Linked DNA regions of Drosophila melanogaster. The protein of the gene in region 1 purifies or fractionates together with the protein of each later gene. This does not show direct contact. Each region holds a gene or a part of one and is shown on either strand. Other genes may lie near its edges. The genes, in order: Pen and Fs(2)Ket.

What was found.
Region 2: the proteins of Pen (region 1) and Fs(2)Ket purify together in Drosophila melanogaster (affinity purification with western blotting, with the first as the bait; one study listed by BioGRID). This does not show direct contact.

Annotation. Positions count from the first base shown.
Region 1 is NT_033779.5:10,054,863-10,060,597, reverse strand, and holds Pen (pendulin), read right to left. Parts: upstream 3,699-5,735; 5' UTR 3,394-3,698; intron 2,977-3,393; 5' UTR 2,902-2,976; coding exon 2,839-2,901; intron 2,778-2,838; coding exon 2,464-2,777; intron 2,400-2,463; coding exon 1,829-2,399; intron 1,752-1,828; coding exon 1,131-1,751; 3' UTR 503-1,130; downstream 1-502. Other genes in the region: Cpr31A (cuticular protein 31A), read right to left, coding at 4,726-5,735. UniProt on the Drosophila melanogaster protein: Binds specifically and directly to substrates containing either a simple or bipartite NLS motif. Promotes docking of import substrates to the nuclear envelope. Seems to act as a cytosolic receptor for both simple and bipartite NLS motifs.
Region 2 is NT_033779.5:20,733,216-20,738,204, reverse strand, and holds the start of Fs(2)Ket (female sterile (2) ketel), read right to left. Parts: upstream 3,295-4,989; 5' UTR 3,115-3,294; exon of another isoform or gene 3,036-3,114; intron 2,953-3,035; 5' UTR 2,833-2,952; coding exon 2,775-2,832; intron 2,103-2,774; coding exon 1,861-2,102; intron 1,788-1,860; coding exon 759-1,787; intron 691-758; coding exon 1-690. Other genes in the region: TM9SF2 (transmembrane 9 superfamily protein member 2), read left to right, coding at 4,142-4,279.

The DNA.
Region 1 (5,735 bases):
TGTTGATGTGACGTCGTCGCTCCACTGATTAAGCTTACCCTCTGGATCACTGCAATAACCACGAACGCTGCGATTCATCTTGATTGAGTTGTGCGTGGTGCGCGTTCTGTGCCAGTAGTAGACTACTACTCACTACTCACTCGTCGGTTGTTTAATCATTATATCTAATCTGGAACTTTTTTGGGGTCGCTGTCCACCGCTGCTCGAGTGGGCGTGGCTGCGGTAGATAGCTCTTAATCTTCCGGCTATCCGCTTACGGCCCAAATGCGATTTAAATGTACAAGACAAAAAAAAAAACATGTATTGACTGCATGACTTTTTATCGCGGATTTACGGACAAAAGGCGCCAGCGCATCGAAGGGATAACATTTTAAATTCGATTGCCTGCATCGGTGTATATCCCAATAGCATTCCAAATAATATACAAAAAAAAATGCCAAGGCCCAAAAATAGGCTCCAATTTTCGCAATGCTCAAATGCAGCTTAAATACACATGAAATTTAATTAATCATTCAAACAATTCATTATTTATTGACAACTTTGAATATAAACATGCGATTCGGGAATGAGGACACTGGTGTGAAGGGAATGAGTTGTTGTTGTTGTTGTTGTTGTTGTAATGCTTGCGCGAAGGTGGAGGATTAAAAGCGTTTCCTGTATACATAAATAAATACTAAACAGCCTAAAATATATCCGAAATGAGCTCGAAACGTATCCAATAAAAAGCCTAGTACACGCAAACATAAGGTGCCCCCTGTACAGACGGATTCTGGAAATACTATGATCCACGGATCCCAGCCAGCGCAGCTGCCCGAGCGGTTGCATCGTGAACGAGGAACACTGCCAGAAAGATCCATGCTGCAATCTGTGAAGTCTAGTCTAACGCGAGGAATACGGGTATGTTAAATGGGGATTCATGCGAGTGGATTTTGCCAACCCGATTCAATTATGACTTTAAGCTAATGCATTCGCCTGTGTTTCCATGCATACCTCCAAAGTGTTTGGGAATGTTTGTAAGATGTGATGATGAGTATGCGTATGTTTGACAATGGCATAGTGTGTGAGCGCGGTCGAAGGTGTAGTTGTTTGTAAGGCGTGTGAGCGGAGTTTGGAATGTGTGGGGTGGGCGATTAGAACGTGTAGCCACCTTCGGGAGCCTTGGGCTGGGTGGCATTGAACTCGAGGGCTCCGTTGACCTCCTGAGGTGCGAGCTCTTGCTCGGCCTCGTCGTCGCCGTTGCTGAAGTATGTGTCAATGATGGCGTAGGCCTTCTTGTAGACCTCCTCGTTCTCGTGCTGCTGCAGAGTTTCCAGCTTGTCTAGACCGCCCATCTCCTCGACCATCAAGCATAGGTTCTCGGTGCCACCAAGTTTCTCCGCCAGGGCAAACAGATTGGATAGGCCCGTCTGCACCACCTTGATGGTACGCGGATCCTTTGTGTCCAGCAAATCGATAAAAGGCTTCAATATTTTGTACTTCTCAATTAGATCGACGATCTGTTCGGGAGTGCCAGATGTCGTGGTGTTTGTCACCGCCCAGGCAGCCTCTTTTTGAGCCTTGAAATCACCCTTCTCCAGCACGGTGCGCAGCTGCTGGAAGATGCCGGCCTGAATCACAGCCTGGATCTGCTTCTGGTTACCTGCTGTGATGTTGCTGACCGTCCAGGCAGCCTCCTTCACAATGTTGCTTTTGTTGTGCTGTAGAAGGAGTCCCAGCCTTGGTAAACCTCCAGATGCAATTACAACGTCAGTCTAATAAAAAAAAAAAAAAAAAACAGGTCGGTCAGGCATGTTATAACAATAAGGATTAAAATCATTTGTTTTCCTACCTGTTGATCTGTGCCAGTCACAATGTTGCCAACGCTGCGCAGGGCGGGCACAATAATGCTCGGCTCGTCCATTTGCAGCAGTTTGACCAGGCGCGGCACTGCGTCCGAGTCGACCACAGCCTGGATCTTGGTGTTATCGTCGTCCGTGACGTAGGACAAAGCCCAGCAGGCGTCGGCCAGCACTTGGATGTCCTGACTAAGCAGAAGCTGCGACAGGACGGGCAACAGCCGCTTCACCTGATCGAATGGCGGCGATGGATTCTTGTTCCGGCACAGGTTGGACATCAGCCAGACGATGTTGCGCAGAAAAGAGAGCGGTGTCTCATTGTTGATCAGTGGCAAGATTCCGTCAATTACGTTGTGGTGGATGACAATGTCGCGGGCGGCGGCTCCGTCGCCGGCAATGTTGCCCAGAGCCCAGACTGCCTGCTCGGCCAGGTTCATGGACTTGGACTGGAGCAGAGCCACGAAATGCGGCACAGCATTGTGTTCGATAACGCAGCGCGTTTGGTCGGATGTGCCAGAGGCGATGTTGGTAAGCGCCCAAGCGGCCTCGAACTGCAGCATTGAGCTGTAGCGGCGAATCAGGGGATATTCAATAATGCTCTCATCAACATTCTAAAGCCACTACTCACTTGTTGGTATTCTGCAGGAAGCGTATGCAAATGGGCACAATACCATGGCCGATCATCAGGTCGATGGGTGGATTGCGCTCCCGACTGAGCATCTTGCGGGCAGACTGCATGCCCAGAAACTGGCGCTCCTGATCCTCGCTGTTCATGGCCGCCACTATCTCGTCCACGGACAGCTGCACCGGCGACTGGCCATTGAGCTCTTTGAGCGGCGACGTTAGATCCTCGTCGTTGATGTTGCGCCGCTTGAACATCTGGTCCTCCTTTTTGGACTTGCGCAGCTCGATGGTCACCTCATGGCGGCGCATGCGTGAGTCCTAGGGCAAAAAGTGAGGTTAGTTCCGAACGCAGTTCTGCGGAGGATCTTGTGTACATTACCTGCGTGTTAATGCTGTTGGCCTTGTAGGAGCCCTGTCGTGAGTTAGAATCCGCCTTACTCATTTTTTTTTTTTTTTTGAGTTTTGTGTTTTTTCTTTAAAAGTTTAGATGTTTGCTGCTGCGATGAAATGTGTGAAACTGAAAAGGAAAATGTGAGTCAATGTCAGGAAGAAGCAGAATCAAGGGCTGCTTGGGTTCTTTTTTTTTATCTCTGTCTTTTATATTCCTTTCGGCGTGCAACAGGGGCGTAACCATGAGTTCAAAAAAGGGGTTTTCTTTGTGGCCAGCAACTCGATATGTTATTCCTATGTGTTAGCCAACATAAGCCAACTAATTTACAAGATTATTTTTAACGGGGCACCCAATCGCTCAAGCCCCCGCGAGTTAAGAACTACGCCTTTGGTTGGCAACAGCTGCAGCAGCCGCCATTTGCCGATTCGCGGAAAGAGGGGAACGAGAAGAGGAGATCACGAAGAGGCGGTCAAATTGATGAACGCTAGTAAAAAGCAGTGGGAAAAACCGCGAAAAGGAAGAAAAGAGTACACACGCACTTACCTTTGTACCTTTGCCCTTTTGAATGCGTGTGCTGGCTTTTTCGAATGGAAATTCACTTTACTGAATTTTTACACAATTTTTATCGTTCCCTAACGAAACGCGAGCACGAGAATTTGTCGAGCGTGTTAGCACGCTGAATGTGTCGGTGAAACTGTAGACAAACGTAGACAGTACTCTCGTAATCGATGCGAAATTGGAGTCAATGCCTGCTTGGCGCCGCCAGAATTTACCGTTTGATTTGAAAAGCAAGCCTTAGTGGCGAACGAAACGCAGATGGCTATCGATCTTTGTCAGTTATCGAAATTTGATGCCAGTGTGAACGTAGGTGCCTAATATCGCATGTTATCTTGCTGTTAACTTCGGACAACGGCGCGTAGAGAAAAATAATGTACATTTTTTATATCCACATAATTATTACTAAATTTTTAAGTAACTTATTATTTTTTTAGTATATATAAATTTCTGGTGTAACTTGTTAACGATCGCTTGCCAAGTGGTGAAGCAGCTTTTGGATTTCAATATGTTGTTGTGGAACGTGGAACGTGTGCGCATGCAAGCCAAATTCAGCCAACAGCTGAATAGAAGTCGGCTGAATCTGCACACCACGCGGGCTCATTTAAATGTTTATGACAAATGTTTATGTTTTACTTTCTCGTCTTTACTTTTGTAAGGAAAACCTTCATCTTAAAATAATATAATATTAATAATGTTTAATATTAAGGCTATACGTTTAAAAGCTTCAATTACAATTTCCATAAATATTTATGTTCAATCTTTGTTGTTAATTTATTCAACGAATATGTGTTAAAATGTAAAGCTCTATCCATATTTAATAAGACAAAAAATAGCCACCTAAATCAATATTTAATTGGATAATAAAAGGTACTGATTTTATCTGTCTACCTTTAAATATAAAATTTGATTGTCTCTTTTTTTTTGCTTGCAAATATGTTATCATTGCACTAATACCATTTAATCTCTCGATTATCAGTAATAATGCAATAAATGCGCAGATATTTCCGGTTAATGCTCTTTTCATTTTGTTTATATGCGGTTGTCAGAAATAAACAAAATTTTTTTTAGAGATGATTGCTGCCAATCGATTTAGTCCCTTTTTCAATTGTTTGTTTTTCGATTCTTTGAGAAGTAATCCGCTAAATTAATGTGGTAAATTAATTATTAAAATCGCCGCATTTAAGCTTTTGAATTATCAGCTTATAAATGTAACTAAACTACATTTAATTTGAATTAGTAGACAATTTTTTATGTATTCTCGAAGTATTTTATTCATTTCCTTATTAATTTCAACAATATTTCCGTTCATAATCCAATCTAGGCCGTCTTCTTGTTCTCCTCCGTAACTGGAGCAGCGGTGGTGGTGGTGCTGCTGGCCTCCGGGGCAGATCGTGCCTCCACCACGTCGGAATCATCGCTGTCAGGAGCTGGGGAGGATTGACCAGCTGGCGAGTAGGGTGGGAACTGCTGATCCTGGGGATAGGTTTGCTGCTGCTGCTCCTGCTGCTGCTGCTGACCCTCGTTGTAGTCAATGGGAGTGGGTTCCAGCTCGGGCTGTTGGGCCACAGGAGACTCCACCACCTCACCCTGCTGCTCGGCAACCTGTTGAATCTGCTGTGGGGCGAACACCTGCTGGTGTGGATAGTAGATGGGAGCGGGCAGCGAGGCAACGGGAGCGGAGGAAATATGGACGGGAACTGGAGCTGGAGCGGAGACGGAAACCACTGGAGCAGCAACTGCGCGGGCAGCGACAACCGGTTCCCGCTGGACCACCGCATTGAATCCGTTGATGTCGTCGGCGGTGTAGGTCACTGTGCGCTTGAAACCATCGGCATCCAGGACGGAATAGGATCCCACAACATTGCCACCGTCACGGGTCTCCACCTGGCTTTTGATATCGCCGGTGATGCTGTCGTGAACGCCGTAGGAGAAGTCGTAGCGCGGCGAAGATTCCAACTCTACCTGTTTCAGTACAGCGGGAGCAGCAGCCACAGTCTTGACCACTGGAGCAGCGACCACGGGAGCAGCAGCCAGGGTCTTCACCACCGGCGCAGCAACGGGCAGAGCGAGAGGAGCAGGAGCCACCGCCTTGACAACTGGAGTGGGCAGGGCATAGGATCTGGTGTATACAGGAGCAGCTGGCACAAAGGTCTTGGCGTAAACTGGAGCCGCCTGCTGGTAGACAGCAGCCTGGGCCACTGGTGCCGCATGGTAGACGGCAGCCGGTGCCTGGTAGGTGGCATAGGCGGGATGATAGCCGGCATAGGTGGCGGCGAATCCTGCGCGACAGGATGCGGCGATGGCCAGAAGGGAGAAAACAGTCAGGA
Region 2 (4,989 bases), about 11 Mb from region 1:
GCAGACCTGGTACTCCTGGAAGTTCTTCAGACCCATGACGAGGAAGTCCTTGAAAGCGGGCATGTACTTGGCGAACTGAGCTCCCAAAAGCTCAACCAATGTCGAAACGGCAAGGAAGGCCTCCTCCTGCACTACACCCGACTTTCCAGCACTTGAATTGAACATGGTCAGCAGAGCGGTCATAATGGCATCGGAAATTTGAGGCGCATCCTGCTCGTGGACCTTTCTCAAAACGCTTTGCAGAGTGGCGCACAGAAGCGATTGTAGATCGTTGAACTGATGACGATCGCTGTGATTGTTAATCTGCGTTTCCATCTGCATCACCTGGTTCAAGCGCTCCAAAATCACCAGCGTGGTGCGCTGGACCACCAAGTAGCAATCCAAGGGAGAGTTCTTGATCATATCCATAAGTGCCTGATAAGCAGCACATCGCAAATTGGCTTGAGCTCCGTCCGATCGATCAGTGGTCTCCAGCAACTGGGTAATGATGTACTCAAAGTACGGGGACAGGGCGTACGTCTCCGGAGTCTCTCCGTCGTTGGTGACCGCTGCCTCCCAAGCTGCATCGGAAAGTCCAATGAAGGCCCAACACACGTTGGCTGCTACACGCGGCTCTGACTTTAGGCTCTTCACGAAGCACTCCAAAAGCGTTTGAAGATATGTCTCGTTGATAGCCGCCTCGGGAATTATCTGTCAGGAAAAAGCAGTAGAAGGTTAGTATGACAATATGAATCACCTTAAAAATCACCACTACGCACATCGCAAATACGTCCGAAGGTCCAGGCGATGGTATCGCGCACGATAACGCTGGAGTCGTACATCAGTCGAATGAGCGTGGGCATGGCTTGCTCCACGAGCGGCTTTAAGGTATTGGTCTCCAATCCATTCAGCACGGAGCCGAAAGTCATTACCGCTGCGTCGCGGAATCGCCAATTAGGTGACTCGATGTTCTCCTTGATGAAGGGAAGCACATGTGGCACGATCTCGTCCTCGCAACATGTGGCCAGCACCATGAGGCAAACGGAGGCGGCCTTCGCCGGGCTCCAGGTGTCCTCGTCATCGCACTCGTCCTGCTTGGTTAATTTCTCGACGAGCACAGGCGTCAGGAACTGCAGAGCACCTCGAGCATAGTGCTTGGACACTCTCTGCGGAGCGCGGCCCTGATCAGTGGCCTCCTGGCTTTCGATGGCCAGATCTATCTCCTCATCGCAGACGTTCGACCAGAACTCTATGCCCTGCAGCGCTACAGCATCGTTATCAGACTTCATGGCCGCCAAAGTAATAGGGAAAAGAGCCTGTGCCATGTAGGGCTCCATGTACTGGTAATAAAGGGTCATAATCTTCACCAGGCACTGCAGAGCGGCAACGCAGATTTGCGAGTCCTGGCACTGAGTGGCCTCGCACACCACCTCCATGATGAAGTTGCGCTCCATGTCTTTCTCAAAGTTCGATTTGGTGAACTCCAACGAGTTGTGAAGGGCCGTGGTGGCCGCCAAGCGTACATGATTGCTCGGCTCTACCTTTCTCATGCCGTGAATAATAGCAGTCAGCACATCGTTCGACTGGTTCTCCATGACGCCGAAACGAATGTCCTGGCAAATGTAGCCAATGGCCTCCAGCGCCGACTCGCGATGCATCTCGCTGGATCCTTCGCTGACCACCTTGTTCACCAGTGTCTGGATGAGCATGGGCCAGCGGTTTATCGGCAGCTCAATCACGGCCACATAGGCCACGCACTGGGCGGCGCAGGAGGGTCGGGTGTTCTCGGTACCCAAAGCAGCCAGGATCTGAAAGTAAGTCGCAGTTATTCAGTGCCAATTGTACAAGTCATATGTTTCAACATCAGCGTATGTAACTTACGTTATTCTTGATCAACTCGCGGATCTCGCTGGGAAACTGATGCCAGCGATCCTGGTACTGTTGGCTGACCTTCTCGTCCTTGCTGGTCAGGTGGTTCTTCAGCTGGAGACCGGCTGCCATTCGCGCCACCGCACTGTTGGCCGTGTTCACCAGTATCTCTGACAGCGCCTTGAGAAACTCGGGCAGGTTGCTGGCCGCCGCCTGCTCCAGAAAGTTCTTCGCCGATAGCAGCTCATTTTTGTCTGAAAATGCGTCATTTGGTTGGTTAGACATTTTTAATTTCCAATTATGTCAACGAAAGATTTTATTTGTGGGCCTACACACGCCCACCATTTTGGGTCGGCTTAAAGCTTTGGTATCAGGCCATTGAATTTTACAACAATTGACTTTTGGGAATGTGAAGGCAAGATAGGAACTTTTAGGCAAGGCGTATATAGTGAGAATATTGTTTAATAAGAATACAATAGATGGTGAAAGAAGTGTGTGCATATGAAGAGCTAAGCAGTAAGGTCTAGTAATGAATTGTAGCGGTGGAGCATAAAATCTTCAGGCAAGGGGCAAGTTTGCAGGCATTCCTTATCAGCAACCGGAAGAACTGGCCGCCAAGCATACGGTGGTGACTCCGAAGCGACGCCTCATCGATTCCTAGAGTTAGTGAGGTTATGTCGCAGGCGGTTCGTACATCCTTAATTGTAGGAGCGCAAGCATTGCGAATACATACAGACGCGCCGCCAAGTTTCCCTTGGAGTATGTACGTGGATGCACATGTGTGCGGAGGCCCCTAGCAACCAAACATATGCGAGCGCCTATTGCAACCCTGCGCAACATATAACGCGCGTCCCTCCCGCCAATCGAAGAAAAATCCATATTTTTCGGATCTATACACACACGTTTGTAGCAGTGGGGAAACTCACCTGGCGACACCGTCTTTTCCAAAATGGCAATCAATTGCATGGCGATATCGGAAGTCATGTCTTCGCTCTTTTCCTCTCTATATGATTTCTACTTCACTTTCCGTTTCTTTCTGCAGCTCGTGCGTCTGTGTGGGTGATGGAATTTTTGCGTAATTACTAGACAACACTAGTCTGTCGGCTGCAAATGGTGGAGACAAAAGAGTTAAAGTTATTGGGCTGCTCCGCTGAAGCTGGCGATTTTATTTCGACAGGTTGCAACACCTTGATTGTCAAAAGAATTGATTTTTTCGCACACACGCACACAACAAGCGCGTTCAGTAGAACTCTTCATTCTACTCACATTGTTGTTTGGTTATTTTTCGGGAACGGTAAAAAAGCGCGGGATTCCTAACGGCGATTTTCTTAGTTATTATTATAAGCCTATTTAATGGTGGCAGAACCTTTATCTGCTCTTCGGGAAGTGCAGGCAATATATTTCTTGTGTCTCCGATTTGAAATAGAGCTGAAACGAATGTCGATTTTTATTTGATAGCACTGAGTTTCGATGAAAAAGGCGACACCTATTCGATTGCTTTATTCGAACTATCGATAATTTTTAAATCTAATAACGTATTAATTAAATATTCTTAAATGCGTAGGAAATGTGCAACCATTTGACAAAATATATTATTAGTCAGGAACGATAAGACCAAAATACTTACTACTTGTATTAAAACGCGTTTGCCTCCCCAAAAATCAATCGTTAAATTTGAATGATTGTGCTTATCGAAAATTTTCATATTCAAAGATAAGCACGGAAGCAAAACCTCGAACGAACTAAATAATCGAATACTTTGACTTAAGAGTCGTAGGTAAAAAACTAACAAATGAACAAAATTTGATTACTATATTAAGAAACAGTGGATAAAAATAGTAATATCTTAGAAGTATCACACGTATACGTGTGTATATTGGTTGCATTCGCTTACTGAACAGGGGAATTAATTAATTTAAATATAAAAGTTTATTAAGTCTACCAAATTTCGTTTTGCACGTAATAATAATAAGAGCTAAAGGTTTTCGCGGTAATATTTAGCTTTGCAAATGCTGGTAGTTTTTTTGTCAGCCAGTTGGCAGCCCTCTCAGCTGTACTAGGTGGCAACGCTGCTACAGTGCTGACGTTCGGCAAAAAAGAGGAAACGTAGTAAAAACACTCGAAAAACTCCGTATATTCCGATAAATATCCAGATAGTACGGTTTGTGCGTGGCCCGCCGATCCGGAAAGTGTGGCAGAGAATCGCGGACACGGCCACGTTGTGATTACAACCCGTACAAGTAAAGGAAGAAGGTCTGCTACTCCTGCCGTTCGTTGGTTACCCCAATTCGAGATGATCCTGCTATCCGGACTTCTGCCGCTCCTGGGCGTCGTTCTCTTGCACCTTGCGACCCCGACACAGGCCTTCTATCTGCCCGGACTGGCACCGGTCAATTTCTGCAAGAAAACCGACGTCTCATCCACATGCAAGGTAGGTGTATACGTATGTGCAGAAGTGCAGATGTACATATGTACGTAGATAGTGGGTGTGTTTGCCCCACGCCCGCCACAATTAGCAAAGGCACTGGAACTAGTTATGTACATTGGTTCTATATTCCTCTAATGGTGGTCACAGGCGGAAGCACTGATAAGCGCAGTAACTAGTTATATGTGGGGTCCATATGTGGCCCTCTATCTCAACTTCTGCTGACGTTGCCTACGCCAGCTCTCTTTCCTAGCGACAGCTAGATGGGAGTTCTAATGTTGGTTCAGCTGGCTCGCGAATGCGATTTCGGGGGCTCCCGACCTTAAGAATCTTAACATAGTGGCGGCTAACCAATAATTGAACCAGGGAACGCGGTTAGCTTGTCATGCTTCCTTGCATTATGTTTGGGTTATTTTCTTTTTAGTAATAATAGTATAACACAATAACAATATAAATTCAGGACAAAGTATAATTTTTAGTTTGATATCCCAAATAGATGGGGTTAGCCCTTTTAAAAGATGACCTAACTATTGGATGATAAAGCGTGAGCTATTGGTTTTGTTTGCTTCATCTTATCTTTAAACAAATCTAAACAACTTTTTAATATACCCGTAGGTCAAGAAATCCTAATCGGTTTATACGCCCTTAAATTAGACGTTGCCCAATGATAAGAATTAATTAAGGTGTTTCACATTCAATTGTTTCTAACAATCTAA